4 linked regions of the Drosophila melanogaster genome follow. The gene in region 2 interacts genetically with the main gene of each other region. Each region holds a gene or a part of one and is shown on either strand. Other genes may lie near its edges.

Region 1 (7,198 bases), on a different chromosome or scaffold from region 2:
CCTTTTTGTTTGTTTTATTTCCTTCTTTTTATCTTTTTTTGGTCAAGTGTTGCACTGCCTGTGTCTTAAAATGTTACACAAAACATACATACATACATAAAATGTGAGGAAACGAACATATAAAAACACATACATAATTGGTTAATTGACTGAAGAAAATAATATATATATATATAAGCGTGTGTGTGTAGGCGTTTGTGGGTGTGTGTGTATTTGAGAGTTATGCTTGTAGTCCTTGAACTTAAACTTCAATGCGAAGGATATTCTGCTCAGCGGTAACATTCAAATTTAACATAAATACATGTTTCTGAATGAAGTTTAGATTAATAAGAAGTTGCAGTGTTTTAAATAAAAATCAACATCGCATGAAGTTTCTCATGTTTTGAATGTTTATGGGCTCTAAATAAATATGCGTGTTGCTGTGTGTCCTTTTAACTATTTTGTTTTGTTATACAATTTCTTCTGTTTCTGTTTCTTTTCATTTTGAAATACAAACGCAGTTGGTTTTTGTTTTTTGTGTTGTTTTTTTAGTTTTTATATTTATATAAATGAAACTTTGCGCCCAGCGTTTAAAAACCTCAATACAATTGTCTCTCCGTCTCTCAGTGTGGCTGTTGTTGTTGTTGTTGTTGTGTGTTGCTGTCTATCGGTCTTCCCGTTGTAAACTATCATTTCAATTTATGTTTTTGTTTCGTTTACATGCAGTTAAATGGATTGTTTGTTGTTGTATTCGTGCGTATGTGTTTGTGTTGTAGTATTTGTTGTTGTTGGTGGTGTATTTATTTTATTAGTTTTTCTACACCCAATTTTAAGAATCGATCGATTGGAACGATCGATAATATATCGATATTTTGGTTTTATGTTTGGTTTTATTCAGACAGGCAGAGACATGATTGTATTCATAATCATATTCAGGTTCAGGTTGTCGATCGGATTTTATGGATGTTTGATTTGATTTGGTTTGGTTTTTTTTTGTGGTGGTGGTGGTGGTTGGTTTGGTGGTTTTGTATGTGTGGGGAGAGAAAACAAATAAAAAAGATATAATATATTTATATGCTTAGTAGTTGAATGATCCCTTGGTGGCGTTGTGTTTTTTTTAGTCAATATATAGAATTTTAGATTCCAAAATAAAATACAACAAAAAAAGATGAGAGAGTGGGGTAAATGGTGGAAAGGATACTAATAGCTAGTTATTAAGTTTTAAATTTACCGCTCGTAGTGGCATTTTAAAATTGGCTGCTGCCTGCAGCTGAATTTGATAAGCTAAGCTGTGTATTTTAAATCCATATAGCCTATGTATGTGATGATCAAGTTGACGTCGTATCGGGCACATAAAACAAAAGAGCATATTAACAATGTGCATATACAGTAATGGGTATAAATCTTACCTTGGAACAAACTGATTAGTAGGACGCTTGGGACGATATTCGGGATGCACCATGAAGAGCATGTGTGGAAATCCAGTGCCGAAATAGGCGCCATCGGTATGGTGGTGACGCGACGATTTTGGTGTGTACACGTCAATGCACTTGGGGCAATAGGTCTTAACCATTGCCTCGCCGGGGATGTCCGACAGACCTGAGGATAATAATCAAAGGATTAGACCACTGGCAGAGCAACTAGCAACTAGAAAAAGTCAGAATTCATCGGTGAAATCTGGTACAAACATATTTAACCTGATTTAACTCAACATGATATCCATCATGATCATTTATCATTAATAGCAGAAATGTTTACAAGGCTCGTCTAGCCACTTTGGCCTAGTTAATTTTCACAGAAATTGAGGGACCTTGTTTAGTGAAACCCTATCTTGCATTTGTGCATGCATTTGATTCAGCATTGCTTTATTTGATCGTTAACAACGTTTAGGGAAGTTTCGGTAAGAATTTATTGGAGATCGGGAAGCGTTGCGAAGGTTTTAACTAGGGCAAGCCAAGCCAGACAATTAAGGTAGAATTTCTATTAAGAATGCGTTGTTTTTTTCTTGGTGTAAGATTTCATGGGAAAGCCCCAATGATATGCTATTCAGGAAACTCAATTAGAAGTTGTGCCAATAATCGCGTTGATAGTTTCTGGCTATGTAATTACTAGGCAGAAAAGCACGAGGTTCCTCGTAGATATGTTGTTTTTTTTTTTTTTTTTTAGATTACAATCAATTACGCGCAGAAAGATTCGCAACTATGTTTGTTAGCTATAGGTAAGAGCGATTGATCAAGGATCTGGTTACGCACCCAATGGCAGCATGGGCTGACTTTCACAGTAGACACGTGGACAATGTCCGAAATCGCCAGTTTGATATTTCTCGATCATTTGAGCGATGCCGCGATTTGTTAGTATATATCTGGCGTGTATGAGGCCGTAGAGCATCTCGGCGGCCTGCTCGGTCATGTCGGACTGCAGTGGATTGTCCTCGAGCTCGTCCTCTGTGGATGGTAAGGCGCATTAGCTATATACATTACAATTTTGGATATGGGTAACAGCCCATTCTAAACTTACCCGGTTCCAAGTCCAAGATCATGTCCAACGCTTGCCGATAGTTGGGTACCTGCTCATTTAAACCAGTTAAATTGAATTTATCCTGTATGTAGTCCTCATCCACCTGGAATCAAAAGCGTATGCAATTAGGATCTGTACTGGAATATACTGTCATATATCCACTATATCGTGTGTTATCTGGACATGTGTGTACAGTTGGGCTCGGTATTGCCCCACCTTGCGGCACACACGCACACACACACACACACACGCGCGCGCAAAGGCAGAGATTGAGGGCTGCACTTTGCAATTGTTGCACTTATAGCGCGCGCTTAGATAACGCGATTACAGCGAAGAACGCGGGTAATTCGTCGTTGATGCTGATATGATGATGATATCTCACCTCGCAGAAGAACTCATTGCCACGAAGTCCACAGAACCAGGTGACCCAGGAGACTTCCTCGGAGCTGCTCATTTTGCTGCAAAGATAAGCGAATGGAGTTGCTAATTCATATTTTCATCGTTTTTTTTTTGCTGACAAATTATCCTGCACACGCATACCACACATGCACACCGCACTCTCACACACACAGGCAATCATGGCACACACACTGGGACAAACGCTCACGCACTATTACATACATTAAGGGGATTATTTTGCGTAATTTGGGCTGGCGTGCGAAATTTATTGTTAAAATATCTTGGAACGGAATCTTGGCACTTTCTTGTCTACCCCACCCCCCCTGCTTTCTTCACGTTTCCTTTTGGTTCCGCTTCTTGTTGCTCGCACAAACCACACTCTCTTTTTCCGCTTTTTTCTTCTTTCCTCCTCTTTTTTTTTGGTTGGATTGGCCTTTTGGGGTTTTTGTTTTCGGTTTTCCGTTTAATTCGCGTTGCTTGTACAATGTTACTAGTTTTCGGTGATCGCACCGTTGAAATTCGTGTGGTCGGGGGGCATAAAAATAAATTTTTATACTCGTATTGTGACAATTGACAAGCGCTCATACAAAATGTGCCGAGCAGCAAGAAGAAGCACACACTGTTGGAAATTGAGAAAAAAAGAGACACATATACAGGGGCCACCACACGCACACAAGCAAACACGCACACCGCGAAGCGCACATAGGGACGTGCACACACGCACGCCTTTACACCGATGAGCGCAATCCAACGCACACCAACTTGCTATTCTGTATTTTTCCCGCTGCGGCTATCTTCCAGTGGCCAGCACTCACCCAAATTGTTAATAATTACTCAAATTGATCGACTTTTGTACTGCAGCTGAACCGGTAAAGGCAAATATTGTAGCGAAGACGATGATATCAGGTATGCAATCTCGACTATCGATTACCGCTGTCCTGCGCTGTCCGCAGGCGATTGCCAATCGATGTGGCGCCGTGTCATCGCTAAGCGATGTATCGGCTAATCGGGATTGCGCGTTTCGCAACACTGGTTCGGAAAAGCAATTAACCAAACAAAACGCGGAATTATTTGTTAAATAAGCAAATCAAGCCAAATATTAAAATATTGTTTATTACCAGCATTTAGTTGGCTGTTTTGCCATTTGTCAAATAATTTACCGATTGCAGCTAGCAATATTTTCTTACAACTACTTTAAGGTATTATTTCGTTTAGTTGTATGGTAACACTATGTTGAAAGTTTGAAATGTTTGAAAGTGCTTATTTAAATTTGTATTATTGACAAAATAAATCGGGTTTTCGTATAATATTTTCTCTTAGTTGATTGATTAGACTAATAATACAAGAACGAGCGATAAACCCACTGCATGCATTTTAAGCGCAATCGCTCGAAAGATGTCAGAGTGAGAGCGAAGCGAGTTGCGAGCTTAAGCGAAAAAGCGAGAGCAAGGCCTTATCGCTTCAACTCGCTCAGGGCGTACGATTGTTTTGTTATATTCTGCGCTATATTACCGTTTATTTTCAAAACACACGTTATTTTGTTTTGTCTTGTTCCATTCTGTAAATAACCTTTTATATAAATTATTGAATTCGCCTTTTTCATTTCTATTTCAGTTAAGAGGGTGGACGACAGTTTTAACAGAAAGTTAATAGTTGCGCTTGATGCAAAAAATTCCTCGTCCGAATCCATCACGTTCACATTAATAACTAAAAGAGAGCAATGTAGCTCGTTTCTCGCTTAGCTCTTACTCTGCCATCGACTCGCTTTGCTCACAGCTTCTCGCTTTGCTCATAGCTTCTCGCTTCGCTACTAGCGCGCACTCTGCCGTCAGGCTTATTGATAATTTTGAAGATTTCCTTGGCTCTCTTGCGTCCATTCACAACATAGGCCAGTGGATCGTCGCGACTAGATTCCATTAGATTGTCGCACGATTCCTGCCCGATGTTAAACATAAAGGATGTGTCGATATCCTGCGGCAACTTGCCGCGCAGAAAGCTGATCTCGTTGTCGGCCAACGATGTTTTCCGCGACAAAAGCAGGGCGGACAGGTAACGTGGTTGCTTCTTCTTCTCGGCGCAGTGCATCACCAGGCCCCAGGTGTCGTAGTCCGTGTCCAGAACGTATGTGTTGTAGATGCCCTCATCTGCAAGGAGGTACATATAGAAACGAAAATACTGCTTAAAACATATATTAAACCCGGGCAGATCGAATTACTCTTTGGCATAGTAATTACCAAACTACTTCAAACGTATCACAACTACATTTTGAATAGATTTTCGTTTTGAATTTGATTGTAGAAACATTTCCATCACTCACATATGTCCTCCGTGTGCTGCCAATGTCCTGGCTCTTGGAATTTGGGTATCATCCAGGTGATGTTGCCCACGAGCTTCTCGCGCAGCGGATCCTCCGCAAATATGTAGCTAAAGTTCATCGTTATCTAATTTAAATTGAGGTATTGAGGTATAATTTGTAATAGGGATAAAGGTCCTTGCTGCCACTCACATGCTGATCCTCTTTGGAAAAGGAAAAGTGACTGCGCATGCACGCGTACTCCGGAAGTTCCTCTGTGGATGCGTAATACTGAACCACGTGCCAACAGCCCATCATGCGCTCCAAATCGAAGTTCTTAATGGCTCCCACCTAAACGGAAAATTAGTTCCATAATAAGTTAGATATGTAAGTAATTTAGAGGAGGTCTTTATAATGTTGTATAATATAATATATAATGTAATCTATAATGATAAAGATCTATTATACTTTATGATAGGAGTTTTTTTCTATTACCTATATATATATACATTAGACAGCGAGGGTTTCTGGTTAAGATTCACATACATATCTTATATTTATAATAACTCTTGAGACAGTCGTGCTTTTTAATGGGTATTTAAAAACCCTGGTGTACGATCATTATTATGATATTTGAGAGGTCAGGGCTGCTAATAAATATGCCCAATAAACGTTAAGACCACAAATGCATCTTGGCTATAATCCCAATTCAACTTAGCTAGCTGCATGTGTGTATTTACATTGTTTGCCCTGGCGACCACAAAACAAAACAAACTTCGGTTGGTGAAAGAGTCGAAGAAGCGACAGACGACGAAAGCCGTTAGCGCTGTCACCGTGATTGACTACTGACAGTTCATTGAGAAGTCAGTATGGCCGTCCCTCTCTCTGCACCGCTGTTGCCGTCTCTTTCGCTGTTTTGCAAGTCGCGACGCGCAGACACGAGATGCAGACGCAAGACAGCCTCTGATTGATGCGCCTCAAAAGCGCATTGCACCGCATGTGCCCCCCCCCCCCCCCTTATCCCCTTTTCACTGCACCCCCTCTTTCGGCACTGTCTTCCCGCCATCTCTTTCTTCGGGTCTCTACGTGCGTGTCTTTTGTCTATTATTGCTGATTGTTTTCTGACTTTTGGCTCGCTTTTCGGTGTTTGTATTCGTAGCAGTATTTGTCGAACTGCACCTGCATCAAAGTGCAATTGTCGCCGCCAACGGAGATGCAGACGATGAAGAGAGGGGAGTGAGAAGAAAGGGGACGGGCAGAGAAGAGAAGAGAAGACAAGACAAGACTCAGACGACGTCTGAGCCACTTAGAAAGTGTGATTGATTTTGGCATCGGTGTGAGCCCATTTCTTCTGCCTGGCTCTTTCTGCGCTCGCTTTATGTCCCATTCATTCTATTCGCTAGAGATGGAACGTTCCCGTCAATCGTTGGATGATTTCCAGTGGGGCAGGACACAGGAAAGTCTATTATAAGACCCATAGTACTATTATAACCGAATATTATACTATCTTTGAGGTTAGAATTCATAGCTATTGCCACAGAGTCGTTTGATTTAAGGAAGTTCGACTGTAGGCGCTATTTTTTTTTTTGTACCAGCTAACTAGATGGTGCCATCACTAGCGACTTGAAATGTGTCACAGTGCGCCCGGCATATTGATGAGCCTTTGAGTTTGACTCGCTTTTGGGCTTGGATTTGAGATGCTTTCCTCCTCCGGCGGCTGTGCTTAGAATGAAATCGAATCGAAGCGTTGCCAAAGAAAGTGATCCAGTTAGAAGAGGCCGGGGACGTGACCAGGGACGGGAACCTGTACATCCAAAACTGCACCTGCGTCCGACTATCTAATGGATTGCCTCGACTGTCTGCCGTTCTATTCGCTTAGCCAAATTCATCGCCCGAAGGTGACCTTAATATCTGGTTGGTTGGTTTGAAACAAGTGTTGTTATTTTCTCTAAGTCATAATTTGAATTTCATAAGGGGCTTTTTACTCAGCAAGATTACATCTCTATCAAG
Region 2 (7,436 bases):
ACGAGGCGAAAAGGTACAACTTTTCCGGGCCTATTTAAAAAACAGAAATACAATACAGTTTCAAAACTGCCGAGTAATCATCTCGAATGTCTGATGCCTTAGCATTAAAAATATAATTTTGATTAGTTCATATTTCTTCATCATGCCCTTCTAAGTATGCTACGCTTTAACTGATTAATACATTAATTCAACAAGTCCTAGTCATTCTAAACAGAATTTTATACAAAGTACCTATTTAAAAGTATTTTATGCTGAAACCTGATGTAATGGTTTCATTTTAATATTTTTTGAGAGTTTCATACATGTCCCGTAGACTAGATCCTTATTTCATGACAAGTTTTGACGACAGAGATTATCTGTAGCCTGCAGTTCGCAAGGACAAAACTGCTCCATCACGGACGTTTCAAAAACGCTGCACAGAGTTGCGCTGGGAACCTTTGCGAGGATATAGAAAACAAGAGGCGACTCCAACTGGATGCTGCCCTTTTGTGGTTTGCCTTTTATTGTTGCTTGTTGCTGGTGTTGTTGGTGCTCCGACTGGATGTTGCTGTTGCTCATTGCTGTTTGCTTCTATTTTCTTTTGCCGCATTTTGGTTCGCTTTTAATGATAACGCAACAGCATTGTGTGTGTATGCCACCGCCACCGCCAACCCACCAGCCCCTTCTGTCCCCTCATCACGCATCCTCGGGCTCATTCCATTGGCCAAAAGGCCTGATACCCTCTCGACCAGGCCACCTTTCGTCATCCGCTCAACCACAATAATGGTGTGCATCAGCCGGAGTTCAGGGGGTCACAAAGGGGTGAGTGGGTGTCGTCGGACGATGGGCGGTGTCGGCGGTGCCGCATCACAATCACGCATGCCGCACCACTGCCAATGCATTAAATGCTAGTTGAGCCCAGTAGTGTGTGCAACGTCTGGCGAAGTAAATTCAATTGAATTTTGCACTCGTTTTCTGTTTTCAGTTTTCCATTTTTTCTCCCATTTTCCGCACTCTTCTTTTATTTATTTTTTTTTTTTGTATTATTCCTTTCTCATTTTTGTTAAATGCCACAGGCTCATATTGCAATGGGCTACGCCCTAATACCAAGCACCACTACCCAATCCACAAAACGCGGCAGTGCAACAAACGCAACGCACCCTGGTTGATATTTTCTTGGTTGTTATCCTTCTCGCTGGCGGCGGGCGTGTGATTTGCTTGGTATCGACATTTTAATGATGTGCCCTGGGGCTGCTGCCACCGCATTGTTGGAGGACGCCTTGGCCGCCTTGTACTTTTGGCATTTGCGCGAAATGTCGAGACATTCCAATAGTCTGCCAAGGATCAGAACCAGAACCAGAAGCTGGAGCCGTACTATTGGGTAGTGGGAGTGAAAATGGCAGGCTATGGCGGCCTGGACATACCAAGTTGGCCTGCGGCATATACTTAAGTGTACATAACCAACTGTTAATGCCACACCATCGCCCAGCACAATGATTTGCTCGAAATGATTGCCGCCCTCTCTTGAGCATTCACTCGAGTTTGGGTTTGAATAATGCCAATGATTTGCCCGCTGGCAATCAAATTTGAGCCGGCTAATAACTGGCAATTGCAGGCAGTCGTTTAGGGAAAACGGCCAAGCATTCACTTAATTATACTATTAGTGTAATATTTATGGGCGTGTGTAATCAACAGGTAAAGCAGATAGTTTAGTTTGCTTTAAGCATAGTTTACCCCCACGAGCATAGATCTAATTTAATAGTAAGGTTCTATGATTAATTATGCACAATACAGTAATGTTGGCAAGTTTTAATGCCAGACATATTGCTACACAAAATCCCGGTGTCATTGATATGGACTGACCTGCACTTGGACAGTGAACCAAGACGTTGGTGCAAGGACAATAAAGGAAAATTTTGTACGAAACGATGTTACAGCAGGATATGGACTTTTGCAGAGCATGACATCACACATCCTACGGCTTAAAATGGCAAATAAAATGTACAGCATTTCTTATGACCGACAAATTTTCCGCTGTGGCCCCCACCATTATTTATAGGCATTTTAAACAGCAGGCAATGCCGCAATGGAAATGAGTGCAAAAAATATAAATAATACGGAAAGCAGGACATTAAGAACACGCCACGTTGGCAAGAAGTAGACGCATTTTAGACATTACCAGCAAATAAATATGAATGTATAGCAATACGGCAAGGGAAGGGGGGGGGGGGTATAGACACTGCTTACACGACGAAATTGACATTTTGCATTTAGTTATTCAGTTGGGTCTATATTTTGATCTTTTTTTTCTACCATTTTGCTGCCGCCGCTGGCAGCCACAATAAAATGAGAAGAAAAATTGCATAATAACCCCTTTGAAATCGTCGGATTATCCTTAAATATTTGTGTAAACATTGTAACAAATGCGCAGCTCCATTGTCAGCCAACTCGGGCCATGGATGCAGCACAGAACCAACCTCCATCCTTCATCCTCCACCTCTGTTTCCATCTCCGCCTCTTTGAAAGCCATCCCCAATCCATTGACGTAGTCAAGGCGGCTTTTCCTCAACCCCTGTGCGTCGTCTGTCGTCAAATGCCTGAATGATGAGCAATAGACGGGTCCGGGTCTCCTGTCACAGTCGACAATGAGCAACTTTTTCCAAAGGCGGAAGACGTGGCAAGGATACAAACGGGCCGCGTAGCCAACAATGGGACCAAGTGCTCCGCCGAGGAGGGAAAGCGTCTTAAAAAACCTGTCACACATATTGACAGTCGCTTTAGGATCGCTTAAATCAAGTCTGGGGTCGGCGGGGGCATGAGCCGAGTCGTCGGGTTGGTTAGCATGTGCGTATCAGCATAAAGGATATTGTAATCATTACATGTAATTCACATTTGGGGGTGAAGGGCAATTGCCGCAACTGACATAATTTTGATGTGTATTGATATGAAGCGGATTGTCAGGCAGGATAATTAATTTTCCAGAGGATAAAGAAAAACTCAGGAAGGGACATGTAATATTTTGAGCCATAAGAGGCTAATAGCTGTCTGCTTGTACTGTCACTGGAGTTTTAAGATTATTAGACAAACTTTTACGAATCTTTAAAGACATAAAAATCTGGATACTAATGGCAGTTGTAAAGCGTGCCCAACAACTTTAGCTCTGTTTTTTATCCGCTATTCCAATGCTTCCATTTGCTCTCTGCGCTTTTTCTGTACCGCTCAGTGTCCTAATCGAATCATCTCATTTAAGTGAATTAAAAAACATATAAAGGCGAGCAAAATTAAATCACGCAACTATTTTGCGCAACAAAGAGTACAATTAAAAGCCCACCCGGCGGCAAAAAGGACGAAAAGGAGGCGCAGTGGTGTCTGGCGCAGAAAACGCCGCAAGTTTAATCGAATTTAACTACTCATAATGTGCAACAGACGTTGGCGGATGGGGCTGTTTCAGTGGGTGGTGGGGTGGTTTGAAAAACTCTCAGAAGTGTAGGCGTAAAGTTGGGCACTAATCTTATTAGGATCATCCCGGGCCAGCCACTCACGAATCCCAATTGGGAAGATGAACTGAAAAAGCCAGCTGATGTAGAGCTCTCTCACTCGCTCGGTCGTTCTCTCTCTCCCTCTTTCTCTCTAGCCGACTTTATTCGTACGTGAGCGTTTCAATTACCGCTCTGGAGTGCGAATGGGTTTTATTATTATTTACATACCTGTTGCAGCAGGGGCATTGTTTTGAATAAAAATTCCAATTTCCACACTTGTTCACGTTGCGCTCCTTGTTCGTTCGTGCTCGTTCGCGTTCGTTCGTGTTCGGCAGGAGCAGCATCCGCCAACTGACAAAGCGGCAAAACAGATGTCACCACTTCCGCCTCTCGTACCTTCCCTTTCCCACTCCCACTGCCGGCGGAGAGCCCGTTCGCGCACCGTCTCTCTCGCCCTCTCTCTTTCACTCCTGCGCAGGCCTTTCGGTTGGAGTTCGCTGCGGTTCGAGTCCAAGTTCGTGTTGGATCTGGTTGGAGTTTGAATTGGATGCCGAGCCTCGGGCAAGGAATCTGGTTTTTGTTGTTGTTTATTGGAGCTCCACAGGATAACGCGACTGAGCGAGCGAGAGGGGCGAAGGCGAACCAAGACAGCTGGCAGATGTGGCCGTATCAGCAGCAAATAGTCATCGATTCATTCCGCCTCGTCAACGATGCAAATTTCCAAAGGCCTGAAATATCATAAGCATGAATTAATTATAAGAGTACTCTTCTTTGTAGTTTCCAAATCAGTGGAGTTTAAAGAAAACACACGCGTACGCACTTGAGCGTTAAATGCCGTAAATCGATCAAGGCGTATCCCTCTCTCTCCTACTCTCTATGACACTGTCCCGGCTAACTGTAATTAACTGTAATCCAGGGTCGTTTACTTTAAAGGGGGCTTTTATGGCCGCCAATAACACAAACTATGCATTATCCTTTCGGGTGGTAATCCTTTCGGAAGCTGTGTGTTGAGCGAACCTATTATTAGAGCCATAAATCAGCATGAAATGAGCAGTGGCAGCGAAGTTGGAGTTGTAAAATGGAGATGGAGATGGGGCCAAGCCCTGTCTCGCCCTTTCTCTACTCTCTCCATCTCACTCTCGCGCTCTGTGCGTAGAATAATGGGTAGTAAGAATAAGTGTGCACACAGAAAGAAAAATTGCTATACTTTCATGAATTGCACTGTTATTCATATTTCTTTTCAATTGATACCGGACAATCCAAAAATCTATTATTGTGCACACCTTACATTTTATTAACGAATTAAGACCCCGCGCAATTCCAGCTTCATTTCCTCTGTGTGGCCAAGGCGGCGATTGATTGCCGTAGTTTTTGGAGAGATGACGTGAGCCAAAGGCAACAGAAAAAAAAACAGGACCAACGGCACATAATAGTAGTGTGTAGTTGTAAAGTTGTAAAATACGCACGTCGAGAATGAGAGAACGAAAAATGAGCCGCTGCCCTGTTTTTCTTCACCTTCTTGTTACCAACTAATTTGAACTGCACCATTTTTCGGTCAACAATTTCTAGTGCCGGCTAACACTGATACACCAATACATACCCAGGACTCGCAAAAACACGCGGATGGCGCATAAATTCGTGTGAATTTTATTTTAATTCCGCACTTGCAATCGCATCCCGTTTCTTTTGTCGTCCACCAAGCACATTTTTACACACACTCGCACACACGCCGCCAGGAACCGTTACTTCTGCTTTGCACGCCCTTCGCCGTTTTCCGTTTCTCCTTCCGATGCTGTTTCGCCAAACTACTCACTCACGGACGCATTTTTTACTATTAAACTATTTTGATTGTTGAAAATCTTTGCGACTGTGGTATGGCACCACATTAACTCGAATTTAAAATTGAGCCTTAAATTTGAGCGGACCCTGCCGCGGCAATACAAATTAATAGAACAAACTAAATTATCATCCCGTGATATCTTTTATTTTGGAATTTTAGTCGGGATTTTTTGATATTATGGCCACGCCACGGCGTGCAACGCTGCTTAAATAACCTTTTTCGCCTGGCTCTGTCGAACCAACCGCATGCAACCGCTCTCTTGAACTTAAAAGCGCTCATTTGTTTGAAACAACTTGTGTTCGACGATTCCTCGACAAAAAAAGAAACAGTCATTAAAATTCGCACAAATGGCTGAACTATTTAAATAATTTATTTAATTTGTATTTTCATTTAAAGTTTTGGTTTTAAAATAATTTTTATATTTCCATTAATTTTATTACTTATTGGTAAAGCATTAACAGCAACCAAATTTTTTTCACTGGCGTAAACAACTGTTTCCAGTGAATGGCAACAATACAGCTGTTTTGCACAGAGTTGCCACTATGTTCAAATGAGTTATTACCAGCGGCGGAAAACTTGTATCAAATTTATAACAAAAATACAATTCTGCGTTAATAAAAATGCCCGGGGACACGGAAAACACAAGCACTGACACCACCAATGAACACATCGACCTGGCCTTGTACCGGCAGCTGGTCAAACAATTCATAGACATGGTAAGACAAAAAAACCAAAAGCCGGCAAGCAGAGCCTGAGTGCAAATTCAATTGCATTTTTAGCGTCGCTACTCCACAGCGCTTTTTTGGGCAGAAAAGGTGGCCGTGCTTGGTGGCCTGGAACCCAGGGATATTTACTACCAGGCGCAGTGCATGTACCTACTGGGGGAATACCATCGTGCTGCTCACACAATACAGCATCACAAGCTAGAGAAGAATTCACTGCCATGTTTTAACCTACTACTGGAAAGTCTCTATGCGGCCAAGGAGTTTACCGAGGCGGCCAATGTCATCCAGAATGTGGAGGTGGAAGTCATGACCACATCGCTGATCAACCAGCCCGTTGATGCAAGCAGTGGCTGCTATCTGGAAAGCAACAGTGTCTTTGGTGGCGAGGAGAATCACAGAAATGAACTGCTCTCATCCATTTACCTAATGAAGGGCAAAGTTTATGAGGCCCTGGACAATCGCGGCATGGCAATGGACTTCTATGTTCAGGCCCTTCACAAATCCATATACTGCTTTGAGGCCCTGGAGGCGCTGGTTCAACACGAAATGCTGATGGCTTGGGAAGGTGAGCATGCACCTACTTTCTGAATACAGTATAATCTCAACTTAATCATTGCAGAGTTTGAGCTAATGCATCATTTACCGCTGGCACAACAATCCAGCGAAGCTGATGCCAAGTTTATACTAAAACTTTATGAATCTCGCCTGAAGAAGTACTACGAGTTGATTTCCGCACGCAATGCTGAGGAGATGTCCCCCATTGTTAATCCTGACATACTCCAGTTTATCAAGGAATTTACAGCTCGAGTGCAGCAGAGCGGGTCGTCAGACACACAAATGCCCAAGGTGAGCGCCGTCAAGGTGCCGCTTACGCCCAGCCAGTTCATGTCGCCCGCACAGAAGTCAGTTCTCCTGATATTTCTAATATTTAGCGCATTCTTATTGAAGTTGTATCTTTAAGAGTCCTGGAAGATCTAAAGGCGCCCACATTTTCCCTACAAACTAGTCTCTCAAAGGCTTCTTCCCTCATTGATGCTTCTCACCGGTCCATGTTTGACTCATCCAGTAGGAGGCGATCGCGTGATCATGACACGGACACATTAATTCCTATCGCTGAATGTCTTGATCGGGTACAACGTAGTACTGACCTAATGGCCGCTGAGGCGGAGAAGTGTTTCTACGACTGCGACTACAAACAGTGCCTGAAAATACTCAATGAGTAAGTGAAGAACGGCGTAAAAGACTTATATTGATCAAAAATGTATTTGGTTTTGCTTATCATATATAGACTCCTTAAGGTGGATCCCTTTCATAACACTGCACTGACCATTCAGATTGCCTGTCTGGTGGAAAACGGCGACTTTAATCGGCTATTTTACGTAGCCCATAAGCTGGTGGACCGTTATCCGGACA
Region 3 (7,778 bases), on a different chromosome or scaffold from region 2:
AATGCCACAACTTATATCAGAATCAGCTGATAATATTTCCATTTGAAACTTTGTTGTATAAATTATATTTATTAATAAGAAAAAAAAGAAGGTATATTGACTTTGGCCGGAAAGACGAAACATTTGCGAGCATATAAAGAATATACGTATATTCATGATCAGTATCAGCAGCCAGGTGGATTTCGCTATGCCCACCAGTTCTACTACGCAAACTCAGTTCTACAGATATCTAAATGAAACTACCATTAAAGTTTGTTCTCTAATACTTGTCAGGTAGTATATAAGTAGGAACGGGCCGGATTGGACTTGGGCCATTGCATCACTAGGAATATTCGAAAAAAATGTTGGTCAAAAAGTATTTTAGTTCGGTTTTCGGAATTTTTTAAACAATATATAATTTTGGTTTTAATTTGGTAAAAATCCGACGAATATATATTCCGAACAGTCGGAAAAGTAATTGAAAATGGCAGAAATTAAATCACAGTTCATTTTGATTCACTATGATCTTTATGCGGAATAAAATCTTAGTTTTGATATATAAATTGTGCAATGATATATATCTTTCCTTCCTGTTCTCTATTTAAATTTGGTAATGCGTTCTCTTGGAATGCTAATGTAATGGATAGAAAAATCAAATTAGCTCATCATATAAAAAGAAACAATATAATTGTTATCCTCTTTAACCAGAAGTAAATGCCATTTAAATAAAAATTTTTTTGCTTCATGATAATGGTATATACAAAACTAAGAAAAATTATATCGAGAAAATTACTACTGCTGAACAGTAGTAAAAACCAAATACTGCATTCTAACATTAAGACCAAGCCGAGCGGCATAGCCGCTCTTCTCTATTGCCAGTATCCCTGCAAACTCTTCAATCCTAGATATCATTTTCATATATCAGGTAATCCTTAATTTCTCGTCTCCTCAACAACCTCGACATTATCAAAAAATTCCATAATGAGATTTAAATTACGCCGGCGAGTGCAACTCAATTGAGCGACACTCAAAATCGCCCCACAGTTGAGTGCGACATACCCACATTGAGCGGGGCTCGAAGGTATAAAAGCTGGAGCAGCCCAGACCACAGTCAACAGTTTCCTCCGAGCGAGCATTCAGTCCTCACACAATCTATCACAGAAGCCAAAAAAAATAAGATTCACCATGAAGAACGCTGTTGCTATTCTGCTGTGCGCCCTGCTGGGTCTGGTAAGTGTTGCAAGGAGACAGAAGCCGATGGCAGCCAGTAATCTAAATTCATCCGTTTGCTCCTCGACAGGCCTCTGCCTCCGACTACAAGCTGCGCACCGCCGAGGATCTGCAGAGCGCGCGCAAGGAGTGTGCCGCCAGCAGCAAGGTGACCGAGGCCCTGATCGCCAAGTACAAGACCTTCGACTATCCCGACGATGACATCACCCGCAACTACATCCAGTGCATCTTCGTCAAATTCGACCTGTTCGATGAGGCCAAGGGCTTCAAGGTGGAGAACCTGGTGGCGCAACTGGGCCAGGGCAAGGAGGACAAGGCCGCGCTGAAGGCCGACATCGAGAAGTGCGCCGACAAGAACGAGCAGAAGTCGCCCGCCAACGAATGGGCCTTCCGTGGCTTCAAGTGTTTCCTTGGCAAGAACCTGCCCCTCGTGCAGGCCGCCGTCCAGAAGAACTAGGAGTTCAGCGCAGTTCCACATCAATTCTAGAAGCGAAAGATCAATCAACACGCAAGCAACGCGGCATTTTCGAGTTGAAATCCGCTCAGGCTCTGCAATCCTACGATTGAAATAAAACCATATAATAGTGCTTTTGAATGAAGAATGTTCTTTTTATTATTCACAATATTTCTGAGGGCTGGAAGAGAGGTAGGGCTGCTGGTGGTGGCAGGAATCAAGCTGTTACTCGCATCCTCAATCCCAAAAAACCTTGTCCCGCCCAAAGGAAAGGCATTGATAGCTTATTTAATTCGATTATATTTGTCTTCATCTTTTTCGCTTTAGTAAATTCAACTTCTTTTCTTATCTTCTCTTTACTCTATATATTTTTTTTTTAAATATATAAATTACACACGCACTTTTTATATATTTTGTTGATTTACTTCTTTCCCAAGAGTCTTGTGTTCTTTTGATTTTTTTTTTATATTTTCTTCCTTCTTTATTTGCTTTTGCCATCTTTTAACTTCTTTTATTTGGGGTTTGTGGTTTCTTTTGCGCTTCTTTTATATATACTTATTGTTGTATATACTTTTTTGTTTTTTAAATCAACTTCTTGTTTTTCATAATCTTTTTTTTTTTTTTGATGTTTTATTGAAAATTAAAATGTGTGAAAAGGGGGTGTTTGGTGTTGGGTGCTTCAAAAAACATTATAGCCAAGTCAAGATATTCGTTTTCCTTGTTGATTTTTTATTATTTTCGAGGTCTCTTCTTTTCGCCTGTTTTCTTGCTGCTGATGCATTTTTTATTGAAACGATATTTTTTCTGGCGTTTTCTGTTGCGATTGTTTTCTCTTTTTTATTTAGCAAAGAAGTTTGGCAATAAAATAATGTTTTTTGAAATTATATTGTAAAAAAATCTGAAATCAAATAGTTAATGGATTAAAGACGACAGTCGGTAAATCGAATGGAAGCATTATAATAAAACCCAACACGCTGCGAATGAGAGCAAGGTATTCCCATAAAGGGTTCGGAAAATTATTCTGTTTTTGACCATAAATTTGATTGTTTTTATTTCCCGTAATGATCTACCAGCTATGCAAACTAAATCTATTTAGCTCCATAAAAACAAACGGCATTTTCTAACAACTTAAATTTAACATAAAAAGACGTCCTCATTGGTTTTATAAATTTTAAGAAAAAAAATGTATCAAAATATAAGAGATAGATATCGGATTACTTTATGTAACCGACATAAATCGGACGCAACCCACACATATAAAATTTCAACTATCAATTATTTTCAGTTCGAAATTGTCAACTTACCTTACTAGGGATTTTAATAAAACAATAATCAGTAAGGAGCGTAGTAATTGGCGCGACCACGGTAACCCCTTCTGGAACGAAAGACAGACCGGGATTAGCTCGATCCAATCGGGATTTTCCAGAGCCCACTTACATAGCTCTTCGGGCGCCTCGGAAGGTGGAGTGACAGCACGCCCGGGAGACACGGGCTCCTCGACCCCGGAAGCTGCCGCGTGCGAAACGGTTTGTGGTGGAGAGTCCAGGGCGGTTTGTGCGCTTCGACATTACCTGAAAGTCAATAGATTAAGCTAAAGTCAACTCTAAATATGTGCTTTCAAAATTGCGCTACGTAGGAGTCCCTAGGACTCATTCTATCCACATATGTACATGAGAGTTTGATAGGTAGCAGGACTAGCAAAAAGTGCTTCAGATACTCACCTTTATTTGACGCCCTCGGAAGAGGGTTTCGTTCATGGCCAATGCCGTCTCGACAAACTCCTTGGAACCAAACTCAATGTATGCGAATCCCTTGGGGTGCCCGTCAGCCTTGTTGCAGAGTATGGTTACTCGGTTGATTGTGCCGCATCCGTGGAAGTGGGCCTCCAGTTCCTCGGCCGATGCGCCGTAGTCCACATTGCCCACGTAGACGGACCGCGTGTCGATTTCCTGCTTCTCCTCAAGAGAAAGCGGGACTGTGGCCAAGCCGGTGGTAGACCCACCGGCCATTTGTTTGTCCACCTCCGACTGCATCTGCTTTATCTTCTCGGCCTCCTCTTCCATCTCCTTGACTCGAGCCTTTATGGCCTCCAGTTCCGGGTCGATTTGCATGCTGCCCTCCTCCTGGCGACGAGGAAAATATGAAATTTAGTGGTATTTGATTTGGAGCGATGAGCAAACGCCCGAAACCACAGCAGACAATGGAATGGAGTGGCGGTGCGAAGTGACGCTCTGAAAATGGCAGCCATTGCTGCGGTTTTCGGCTTTGTATATCCCCCAAAGCTTTGCGAGCTTTTCCAGGGAATTCGGCGGGCTTTCGCAAGGCGTGAGGCCAAGAAACTGGTTCTTGGGCACTGTCTACAAGGGCAACCCCAACTCACCTCGACCTCTGTGGCGATCTCAGTCTCTTGCTCCCCGTTCGTCTCCTCCAATGACTCCAGGAGCTGATCCTCGTTCAATGTGATATCTTCATCGGCCATTGCTTTGGATTTGGGTTTGTTTACGTCTGCTACAAAAGCTCGGTTTTGTTGGCGCAAAAGCTTCCGGCGTGGTACTCAAAACGGCAGTTGTCGTAACTATGTATGTATGGTAGCTGTCAATGAGAAAAGGGCGGCGAAAGTGAGCATAAAGAGCGTAAAACATTAAGAGCGCGAATGAAGAGTTCATCATGCAAATGCAGTGAAAATCCAAGCCATAAGTAAATAAATTCAGGCTGCGGACACCGAAATGTCTAGGTTTCACTGCGTTCGCACTACTACACTGATATTTAATTAAACACACTGTACTTACGTTTAATAAATGTACAAATTACGAGCTCGTTCTGCTGACGTTGAGTTCGCCCAAAATGGCTGCCCTGTGAAAACACACGTACGCTGGGTTGCTGGGTTGCTGTTTTTCGTTCAAAAGTCTACGTTTTTAAACCCTTTTCGACTTTGTTTCGCGCCACACCACGTCAGCATAAATATTTATTTATAAGCTTATTTATTTATTATTTACTAATATTTACAACTATACGAAAACGTACGTAGTTTTTGACACAAATTGAAACAGATTTGTGTTCGCCTCGTTTTTACCGATGACAGTTTTCGCCTCGATAGTTTCGATGGTTTGGTGGTGGGTTTACCTATCGATAACTGCCGGTATTTAAGAAAGCAGTTCTTTGGATGATAAAAATAATAGTATTTTCACACCACAATGCCATTTTAAATTTACCATAGGAAGGAAAGAAGAGGAATGTGCACGCACATTTCTAACAAGGTTTTGTAAATGGGAATCAGACAAATTATTGTTTAAGGAAGTCATATATTGCGAAATAACGCCATCATTCAACCATCAATCAGGGCCCATGCATAACGATAAAAGGAGAACATGAACGATTCCTCCGATTCGGAGTACGAGGACACAGAGTACCTGGTATTTGCGGATTTCAAGAACCACATTCATCCGCACCAGCTGAAGCACGAGGACGCGGCCATTAAGATCATCGGAATCGAGAGTGACACGCCCATGGCCGAGGTAAATGGAAGCATTTATCGGGGACGCTACGAACATTCCGTGGGAACCAACGTGTTCTTTGAGAAGGAAAAAGACAATCTGGCAAGTGATCCGCTTTTTGAGTCAGTGTGTCGCCAGCGGTACCAGTACGTGGACAAATCCACCAAGGTGATATCTTTTGAAAGGGTCTACGTGGACAATTTGCACCAGGAGGTGGAGAAGTCGGCTGAGACTGAAGAGGACGATCAGACCGAGCCAAAGCCAGAATCTCTGAAGCTAAATATAACTTACAAGGAGGCTATTAACAAGTTTGGAGAAGATCATTGAGTGTGGAGAACTGAGTCTAATCCTGAACAAAAAACACTCTTTCAAGACATACCTCTTAGTACCATGGATACCACCTATATTACAACGAATCCAGCTTTAAGCCTGCGAGACTTTCTAGCCGACTATCAAAAGAAAATATCCGGTACTGCAGACGAAGTGCCCTTCTTTCTCCAAAAAAACCCAGTACTTGTCGACGTGTCTGAAAGCTGTTCCCTGGACTTGATCGAGTCCCCAGACGACAGCTCGATTGCAGTCTTCCAGCCCGCCGCAGACAAATGCCGCCCAACCTTTTCTCCGCCGCAGGAGAACCAGCATGTGCCCTCCACTTTTACTGCTCTAAGCCAGCACAAGGACAAGTCCCGTAAGTGTCCCTTTGGCCGCACCCAGTACAGCCACAAACTGAATCCGACGCCGACAGACTCGCCTAACCTGCACATCGATGCTTGCGGCGAACTGGAGCTAACCGTGCGTCTATATCGACCACCGCGGGCCTACCATCGCGGGTTTAAGGTGGAGATTCCCGTTTTCGCCGAGGAGTTCGTATGTCTGGGCAGCAATTATCTGACCGAGCTGCGGGACAAGATCAGCTGCGTTTGCAATGGAAAACGGTTTGTCGACATCAGCGACGATCCAGATGCACCGTTGCCATCCATTGACACAAATCCCGGTTACTTCTTCATCAACGACACATTCTACAACGACCAGCGCAATCCGGACAATCCCGACTATTCCAAGACCGTCTTGCAGTGGGCTGCCAGAGCGAACGGAGTGAACGGAGAAACGCTTAAGGTGGAGAGTATGGAGGGCAAAAGATTCATCGATCTCACTGTCAGCCCCGGATCACCGCTACACTACCTGCACCACGGCAATTGCGAACACCTGTTTGTGATCTCCCAGGTAGAGGTGCTAACGCCACTTAGTAAACGGCCAGATCGCAGCCTGTATCCCTATCCTCACGCCTTCAGTACGTTTAATCGCAGGACTTGCTATATGTGCGGCATTCGCAGCTATAGCTTCATCGTGAACCAGTCCCGGCGACAGCTGCACGATCCCTCCTACCTGTGCCGCAGATGTTTTCTCAGCTTCTTTTACGTGGATGGTGTCAAGCTGGGCCAGTTCAAAGCCTATCGCATGTATGACCATGTAGAGCTGGAGGGCGAAGAGGAGGACATTAAACAGCAAAATCTCCCCTCCTGAATATACATATACATTTGTGTGATTTTTTCTTTATTTGCGAGCTCCTTTGACTGCAAGATCGCTCAAGGAGTTGATTGATATTTTGTTCTTGTAAAATATTCATAGATAGATTTAAATAAAATACATACACGTTGCAACAAGAGTAATTGGCATTGAACGTATTCGATTGCCGTAAAGCTGCCTAAATTCCATGCAATCTAGATTAGCAAAAAGTTAGTGTCCAAGTTAGGAATACAAAAATGCAAACAACGTAAATAGTACGATACATCTGGCTTAGAACTTACGTTAATACATATATGCAGTAGTTCAATGTTTAAAAATTTGCTTAAGGATTTGCACACTGTGGTGCAGAGTATAGACTTGACCAGGACCCATATAAAACAAACCAATAGACTAAATATGGCAAATAACATAATACATTATCCTAGACAAGATACTAGTACTAACCGTACTTAGCAGTACAATACAGTAAAATTCTGTGCACTGGGATTCCGGCGTGCACGTGAAGAGAGACTGTGCGCTTAGTTACTGGGGCGTAGAAATGCATCAACAACATATTGCCAATCCGACCAACAAATATCATTACGAACAACTGCAGGCTGGGATTCCATTCGCCCGGACCTCTTTGGTGTACGCGCTTGCGTTTACTTCAGTGTTAAAGCTTTGACCAGCGGCTTCTCGACGGCGGGCGGCGGTTGCCTAACTCTGGAAGACCAGCTCCCGCTCCACCGACAAGTACTCCAGCATCTGCGCCGGCACTGGCAACTGGGCCAGCTGTTCGCGAGACATCTGGCGCTGCAGAACACGGCGGCATAAGTCCTGCAGCTTGGGCATGTTGGAGTACCGGCTCAACGGGTACTTGAGGATCACTGGAAACGGTGGCTGCATCTCGTTGGGAACCTTCACAAAGCACACAAAGTTGTCGTTGGTGCAGCGGTGCAAGATATCTTCGATCATCTCGACAATGGACTCGTACTTAAGTTCCTCGAAGTGCCAAAAATTGTCGCGATATTCCAGTCGATAATGCAGGGTTACGTTCACAATCCGAAAGCTGAGCGTGAATTGGGATCCGCTGGTTTCCGAGTCGCGGACTAGAA
Region 4 (7,306 bases), 9.6 Mb from region 2:
AGTTATTAGGAAGAGTTTCTAAAAAGCGGTACCCAATTTTGCTTATCATATAAGCCAACCTTAAGTTGATAAGAAAGTAAACCAACAAAATGAATCATTACCTTTCTAAAAATCTGAACGTAAGCCAATCATAATAAATTATAAGGGGACTAAAAAAGTAATTCTTAGAAACCACTGTTTTCATTTCTACATGAGATCCAAAAGTTTGCACTACATCTTTTAGTCTTTTTACCCTGAAGCCGAATAGAGGGGAATGACCCCTTTTAATTTAAGGGTGGAACGATGAACTTACCACCCTTGTTGTTGCGGATCGAGTTGTTTCGCTGCGGCAGCGGGCCACCGTTGTCCAGTCGCGAGTTGCCGTTGCTGTTGTTGTACGACGAAGCGGTGGTGGAGTAGCTAACCTGACTGCCATTACCGCCACCCGAGGTTGCCGAGGAAGAGTTATAGGTGTTGCTGCTGATGGACTGCTGCTGCTGCTGTTGCTGCTGGAGCTGTTGCTGCTGCTGCAGTGCGGCGTTCACAAAGCCGCTGGGCGAGGAGGACGTGGACTTGAAGAGATTCGCGTACGTCTTGGGCTCATTCTGCTGCTGCTTGGCGGCCTCGTACTTCTCCTGCTGCTGCTGCTCGTGAATGGTCTTGAAATCCTCGACGGGCGTGGGAGGCTTCTGCTGCCTTGGCGCCACCTCCACTTCCTCGGGCTCAGCCAGCGGTTGTTGCTGCTGTTGCAAAGGCTGCTGCTGCTGGATAGGTTGCTGCTGCTGCTGCTGCTGCGGGGGCAGCTGTGCCGGTTGCTGCTGCTGCTGCTGCTGGATGAGCTGTGGTGCCACCAGTGGCGACTGTTGGAAGCCCGCGCTTGGCACTGGAACAATGGGCAACACAGGCGTGCCGGTCGGCTGCTGCTGCTGTACCAGGGGAGACACGCTGGGTGGGACCAGCACCTGCTGCTGCTGCAGCTCCTCGTGCGACACCACACCGTTCTGGATGGGCTGTGGCGGCGGAACGGTGAACTGCGCGGGCAGTGGAACAGCAGCGGCTTGCGGAGCTGGTGGCAAAACAGCCACAGGACGTCCGGCGGCAGCACCCGCTGGCAATGGGTAGAAGATCTGCTGTGGGGCAGCACCACCGGCCGCTACAGGAGCTACCTGCTGGGGCACCACGACCTGAGCCTGTGGCTGCGGAGGAGCCTGCTGTTGCTGCGGCTGCTGGGCAACTACATCGCCGGCCACCTGCACAGCTTGATCCACAGTGCCACCGACGACCTGCACATCGTGCTCCTCATCGTTCTCCGATCGCGACTCGCCATCCTGCTCGTCCTCGATGTAGAGATCCTGATAGCGGAAGATGTCGTTGTGCACGTAGTACTTCTTCGGCGACTGAGCGGCCAGAACGAACGTCTGGGTAAAACGCCGCATCGGCTGGCCATCATTGGATAGCTCCCCGGTGACCTGAACCACCACACCGTTGCCCAAAGTGGCCTGGGCATCAACCTGGCTGATCTTCGCGTGGCAATCGTTGAAGTTCAGCTGCTGGATTCGGTTGTGGATCTCCCGCTGACCGACCACCAGCTTGGACTCTCCATGGATGTACGACGAGTTGTGGTTATAGAAGCGATGCAAGTGGTTGGGCGCCTTGTTCAACAGCGTGTAGTACTGGCGGACAAACTCGCGTCCCACAGATTGCGGCGAAGGCTGCTGCGATTGGGTCGCATCCATGACCATAGCTGGCGTTTGATTCTTCCTCTCTGAACTACGGACTCTTCGACTCGGATTCTTTGTCTCCGCTTCCAATTTCTGCTTCCCTTCTTTCTAGCTGCTGCTCGGATCTATCGACACGGTGGCTGATCTGTGTCGATTGAGAGTGTGGGAACGTCTGCGAAATAGTGCAAAAAATATACGCGCACTATGAAAATCTGTCTGGTTTTTTTAATAAAAAAAAAGAAAAGTTGGCAAAAGTCCTAGACGACTGTGTAGATTTTTCAATCTGATAATTTGAAATTAAAGGAAGCTGCTACCCTGTTTCTTACAATCTCCAAAAGGTGTTCAAAGATGGCTTATTCATACCTGTGCCGGTAAAAGTATAGAAACCATAATGAATCACTAGTTGTGTTATCAGTTAATTTCATCACGTGTAAATTTAATTTGGAGAATTAAGGCTTGATAACGGTAAAACACGCAAATATAAGAAACAAATTTAATTGGATTTTCAGACTGTCCATTAAATCAATCTGTGCTTCTTTTACATAAATTTCTAGAGAAATGTGACTGACTACCAAAGTGTTGACCCCTGCTGTGCTCTCCAATAAGGATCTAGAGTTTCGCTTGGTCACAAGGACGGCGGGGAGGGGGGGAGGTTTGTACACCCAAAACAGGGAGCTCATTTTACCGCAGTGCATATAAAACAGACGCAGCGCGCTGCAGTTTGACCCACTTTTGGGGCCCACACACATTTGCACATGCGAAAAGGGGAAATTTGGTGTAGTGCAGCTGTCAGGAAAAATTCCAATTTGCTTGCCGTCGCAGGACATTTAACCCTGCACGTGCTCCAGCTTTTATGCCTGCGATCCTGGCTGACTGAACTTTGCACGTGTGTGTGTGTGCGCGAGTAAATGACCTCATACAATTTGGCAAAGAAAAAAAAGAAGCCGCCAAGCGAGGAGCATGAATTAAATTGAGGTTATGTTCGGGTCTCAAGGTTGTGGCGCCGCATACAATGAACTCCAGCTTGGCCAAAATATCAAATTGCTGCCTTGCAAAAACACTTGAAATAGCGTTAAAAGGTGTAAGTAAATATCAATGTTTGCAGGTGTCCTTTGCCCCATTTTAGCCATAAACATTTGCCGATAAAACAAAAAATGCACAATGAGTTGCGGCAAACCCACACGCACACATATTCGGTTATGAACGCGCCGCTCTTTCGGGTTCTCTCTTTCCCACTCTATTTCTGCTTGCGAACCGCGTGTGTAGGAAGAACAAAGAAAGCTATAGTTGAAGAGCAGCATTTAAACAAAAATGTACAAAAACAAAATTTTTCGTACATTTTTAGGTTATGCACAAGCGATAATAAAAAAAGCCGCTAAAATGGTAAAAAAAAAAATTTAAGAGATAGAGCCCTGCCGCAATAATAAAATATACGCCCATTTAGCATTTTTTATGTTGATTTTTTCCTAGTATGCGCCACCCCTTTGAAAATGGAAAATGCTAGTTTTTCTAGACCGCGCACACGAGGCCGTCGCCGGCTCACCTTTTTTAAGCGATATTTTTCCTCGTTTTTATTTTTCCTTTTTGTAATGCACAGTGTGTATTGCTTTTGGGTTGAAGTTTGCCGAAAAATCGGCACTTTTTGTAGCACTTTTCTTTGTTATCTTCCTGCGGGGGGCGGGGAGAGTTGGATTTCTTAGTGGAGCGCTGAAATTATGCGGTTTTTTTAATTTACAAAACGATAGTCGAAACGTATGAAATGCAGTATAAAATTGCAAGCTGCACACAAAACACACAGCCACACACACCAATGCACTCACTCGCTCACACACACACACTAGTCTAGTTTGTTGCAATTCTTTTTGTCTTTTTTTTTGAGAATAACTAACTTGGCAATTCTTGACGTGTATTTTTTGTTGCTTTCTGATGTTTGGCGATCACAGTTGTTGTTGAATTAAGTTACGATGCATATGTTGTGGCTTTTGAGTAGAAAATAATCGCAAACGCAATGAAATTGGACAAGTGTGTTGAATCGAGAAGAGAACCGACGTTCGTTCCTCTTTTCCTCTTTTTTGCCTCTGCACAGTTTTATTCTTGGTTTCGCGTGTGTTGGTGTGTGAATGATGGCGGCTTTTCCAAGGGTGTGCACACACTTCTTTTTTTGGGGTGGTTAATCTAGTATGTTCCATAGAATATTTTGATGAATTTGATATTTTCATATTTGAGCTCAATTAAGCTCATTTTAGGGGCGCTAAGTTTCTTTTAAATAGTTTTATAAAACTTATTTTCATTTTAGCCATTTCCGATTTTTTGAGTAAGCTCATGAAACACCTTTCTTTAAAGGAAACATTTTATATAGCAAATAAATAAAAACCATAATAACGTTATATTATAACCTGTTGGGAAATCCGAATATGAAAATTGTATAAATTTTTGCAAAAAATAAAAATATTTAATATAAACCAATTAAATGATTTAAAATATTGTTGATGTTTCAGCCTATAAGAAGTTAATATGAAAATTCGATTTTAAACAATTCTTTGTATGTAAATGTTGTTTTCGTTCCCAACACATAGTAAATAATGAACATTGTATTTTTTATATTTATAAAATTATAAATGTTTATGAAATACTTAATATTTATTTAAATATTTAAACCTTTAATACAACTAAAATGAATTTATAAACCAAGTAACTTGTCCATTGTGTAAACTGGGCTTTAAAATATTTGTATAAAATTTTTGGTATTCTTTTCATTTTCTCTTCATAGGTGTGTGTACATTGTATAAATCAAAGCTGCCATACTGCAAGCAGACAAGTCACGCGCCCATTTAGCTCCTTATATAGGCTTATTTGGGGTGGTATCGTACAGAAAATCCCAATTTAATCCTTGGCAAATGTATAGCTAACAATCTCCAGGTAGAGCAAGCAAATACAATACAAATATTTACCAAAATAATACCAAATCGACTTGACTGGGAAAACATCAAGGTGGCAACGCCGCACCCATATACACACGCTGTCGTTTGCATTTATCATTTTCCGGTCGTCATTTCATTCGTACGCGCGACTTTTTGGCGAGTGTGTATAAAAATCTCCGGCTCTGCGTAAAAAACGAATATCGTGCTGCCTAGCCCCCGAAATTAGTAGATCAGTCGAAAACACACAAAATGGCCGAGAACAAGCAAGTGGATACAGAAATAAACGGCGAGGATTTCACCAAGGACGTGACTGCCGACGGTCCGGGATCTGAAAATGGTGATGCGGGCGCCGCCGGCTCGACCAACGGCAGTTCGGACAACCAATCGGCCGCATCCGGCCAGCGGGACGACGACAGGTATGTCCATTATCCGGCGGATACGTTTTTTTTTTGTTCTTTTTTATTTTTGCAACGGGCAACCGATGATCATGTGCCCCCCATAGATTTTCTGCTTCTACATAGTGTATATTGCCTACTCTGTTACGTAAATGCAAAGCTAACGTCGTTGGTCGAGTTTCATTGGATTTTACGGGGTTCTGCGGGGGAAGTCTGACCCCTTTTGTGTTCTCTCTCGCTTGCGCTCGTGCGTCGGAGTGTGTTTAAGTGTGTGTGTGTGAGGTGTCGGTGCGACTGTACTTCAGTCATATTAATAGAATCTTCGGGCCAAAATGCATCATCACAGTCTCGGGAGACATGGAAAATTTTCAACGTTTTCCCCTGCACACACACGCACTTTCCGCAATGAAAACCAGAGTTTTCTTAAGCTAGGAGCACATTTTCTCCCCTTTGTGAGGTTATGTTTGTTTCCCACGTTGCCCCACAGACACACTGTGACGCATACGAACACAAATCATACGGTTGCCTTTCACTTGCAAAAAATGTGGCGAAAAAAAACGTTGGAAAAAGTTATGTTTGTATTTGTCAGTGTATTCTTTTTAATTCGCATTACTCTTTGTTTCGGCTATTTCGTTGTTATTTTGTGCTCTTCCAGTTTTGTACCCAAAATGGCGGCTGCATACAGGCATACATACCAACCTAACGCCCGCTGTTCTGTAGGTGTGTGCGTGTTTTGCAGTTTTCACTTATTCTCTTGCTTGCCGGCTTCGCTCGCTCGCCACCTCTTTTGCGCGCTCTTACTCTCAGAGAGCGACAGCCGGCGTTGTTTGGAGTTGCCAAGGCGCCAAAATATTAATTTAACGAACAATTAATGTAAATTATAAATGATAAATAATTTTGATGGATTAAAGCATAGAGATAATGATGATCAAGTAGAATGGTCCTCTTGTTTGCTCCCCTGCGTTTTGGTTTTTAGGTCTAGCGTACACTTCATTTGCCCATCCTTTATGATCATTTTATATCTAAGTTTAATCTTAAGTCACACGATACTGTACATTTAAACGATAATACGAAACCAGCGCTGACGAAGCAGATGCAGATTATTCCCCGTAAAGGAAGAAGGACGAAATGGAGAAATTAAATCGAAAATCATAGCTTATCCTGTTGTCTTGTGAGCGAACTAACCTTGTTCCTCTCCGGCAGGTTTTGAGAGAAGTGAAATGCCCCAGGTCAGGGTTTTAAGCTATGCTCAAGACGGATATGGATTCGGATATGGATTTGGATTCGTATTCCTGCCCCCGGCAAACGGTTACGGATTCGGATTCGGATTCGGCGGACTTATACTTGGAGGATATGCAACCCTCTCCACACTCCAGTCTCCAAAAGTCTCCGCTCCGCCGATACTGATGCTGATGGTATTTATCTATCCAAAACTAAAACAAACAAACAATCAGTCAGTCAGCCAATATATAGAACTATCAACACACAAAATTATCAAGAAATAATCTCGATTTAAAATTGGATCCATATGTAAACTGTATACGAGTATATATTGTATTGTATCTCTTAACGTATAACTTGTAAATTACCTAAAAAAAAAAGAAAAACAAAAAAGTACCAAGTAATCGGAGACAGAGAGAGACCGAGTGAAAAAGAGACTCGCAGTTTTTTCGTTTTGTTTTATGAAGCTCAAAAACTATACATTATATATCGCCCGAAGAAAGAAACACAATGAACGAATGTAACGTAACGAATTGCCACAAAAAAGAAGCACAAATCACTAAATTGCAATCGAAATTCCGCCGCCGTGTGATGAGACTGTTCCAAATTTGCCGGGAATCCGCCGAGAACGATGAGATATCTTTCCAAAAAGTCCAGAAATCAATGAGTAACGTACACATCATAGTAAACTATAAGTGTCTGCATATTTTTTCAACATTCCTTTTTATAAAAAAAAAAAAATATAAAATAAAATAAACAGCCAAATAAAGAAAGTAAAACTAACCACAATCCAGCATAAAAACCTTTGCATTCTTTTCTCTCATCCTATTGAATAAAGACTAATTGTTAATTGTTATTTGTACAGACAAAGACTCTTAAGCATACCCAAAACAAAAACTTAATAATTCACTCTTGCATATCTTATATATACTATATATCTATATCTTTCGCTCGTTTTGTGTCTCTCGATCGATCGCTCGCTCGCTCCTCGAACTCTTTCGCTCATTCCGAGTTTGCAAGTATTTTGACACTATCCGATCAATTCTTTGATTGCAATACAGTAACTAAA

What was found.
Region 1: of orb (region 2) and CkIIbeta, changing one enhances a phenotype caused by changing the other (phenotypic enhancement), as found in Drosophila melanogaster (one study listed by BioGRID).
Region 3: of orb (region 2) and Pabp2, changing one suppresses a phenotype caused by changing the other (phenotypic suppression), as found in Drosophila melanogaster (one study listed by BioGRID).
Region 4: of orb (region 2) and rin, changing one enhances a phenotype caused by changing the other (phenotypic enhancement), as found in Drosophila melanogaster (one study listed by BioGRID).

The regions. Positions count from the first base shown.
Region 1 is NC_004354.4:11,789,199-11,796,396, reverse strand, and holds the start of CkIIbeta (casein kinase II beta subunit), read right to left. Parts: upstream 3,865-7,198; 5' UTR 3,711-3,864; intron 3,684-3,710; exon of another isoform or gene 3,652-3,683; intron 3,519-3,651; exon of another isoform or gene 3,118-3,518; intron 2,955-3,117; 5' UTR 2,951-2,954; coding exon 2,879-2,950; intron 2,600-2,878; coding exon 2,497-2,599; intron 2,424-2,496; coding exon 2,232-2,423; intron 1,579-2,231; coding exon 1,389-1,578; intron 1,293-1,388; coding exon 1,211-1,292; intron 797-1,210; coding exon of another isoform or gene 788-796; exon of another isoform or gene 666-787; coding exon of another isoform or gene 603-665; exon of another isoform or gene 1-602. Other genes in the region: karl, read right to left, coding at 4,666-5,039, 5,213-5,336, 5,402-5,539. UniProt on the Drosophila melanogaster protein: Participates in Wnt signaling. Plays a complex role in regulating the basal catalytic activity of the alpha subunit.
Region 2 is NT_033777.3:23,275,373-23,282,808, forward strand, and holds the start of orb (oo18 RNA-binding protein), read right to left. Parts: upstream 5,485-7,436; 5' UTR 5,059-5,484; intron 4,187-5,058; 5' UTR 3,705-4,186; coding exon 3,687-3,704; intron 1-3,686. Other genes in the region: Cdc16 (cell division cycle 16), read left to right, coding at 5,919-6,014, 6,078-6,588, 6,643-6,925, 6,985-7,242, 7,312-7,436.
Region 3 is NT_033778.4:8,128,398-8,136,175, reverse strand, and holds Pabp2 (Pabp2), read right to left. Parts: upstream 4,746-7,778; 5' UTR 4,453-4,745; intron 4,256-4,452; 5' UTR 4,143-4,255; coding exon 4,044-4,142; intron 3,787-4,043; coding exon 3,385-3,786; intron 3,235-3,384; coding exon 3,101-3,234; intron 3,036-3,100; coding exon 2,996-3,035; 3' UTR 2,968-2,995; exon of another isoform or gene 2,699-2,967; intron 2,562-2,698; 3' UTR 1,802-2,561; downstream 1-1,801. Other genes in the region: Obp44a (Odorant-binding protein 44a), read left to right, coding at 1,165-1,209, 1,280-1,666; CG42516 (uncharacterized protein), read left to right, coding at 5,032-5,484; Pbp49 (PSEA-binding protein 49kD), read left to right, coding at 5,548-6,681; Socs44A (suppressor of cytokine signaling at 44A), read right to left, coding at 7,381-7,778. UniProt on the Drosophila melanogaster protein: Involved in the 3'-end formation of mRNA precursors (pre-mRNA) by the addition of a poly(A) tail of 200-250 nt to the upstream cleavage product.
Region 4 is NT_033777.3:13,643,484-13,650,789, reverse strand, and holds the start of rin (rasputin), read right to left. Parts: upstream 3,787-7,306; 5' UTR 3,590-3,786; exon of another isoform or gene 3,521-3,589; intron 3,408-3,520; exon of another isoform or gene 3,244-3,407; intron 1,969-3,243; exon of another isoform or gene 1,873-1,968; 5' UTR 1,722-1,872; coding exon 293-1,721; intron 1-292. Other genes in the region: sqd (squid), read left to right, coding at 4,871-5,037.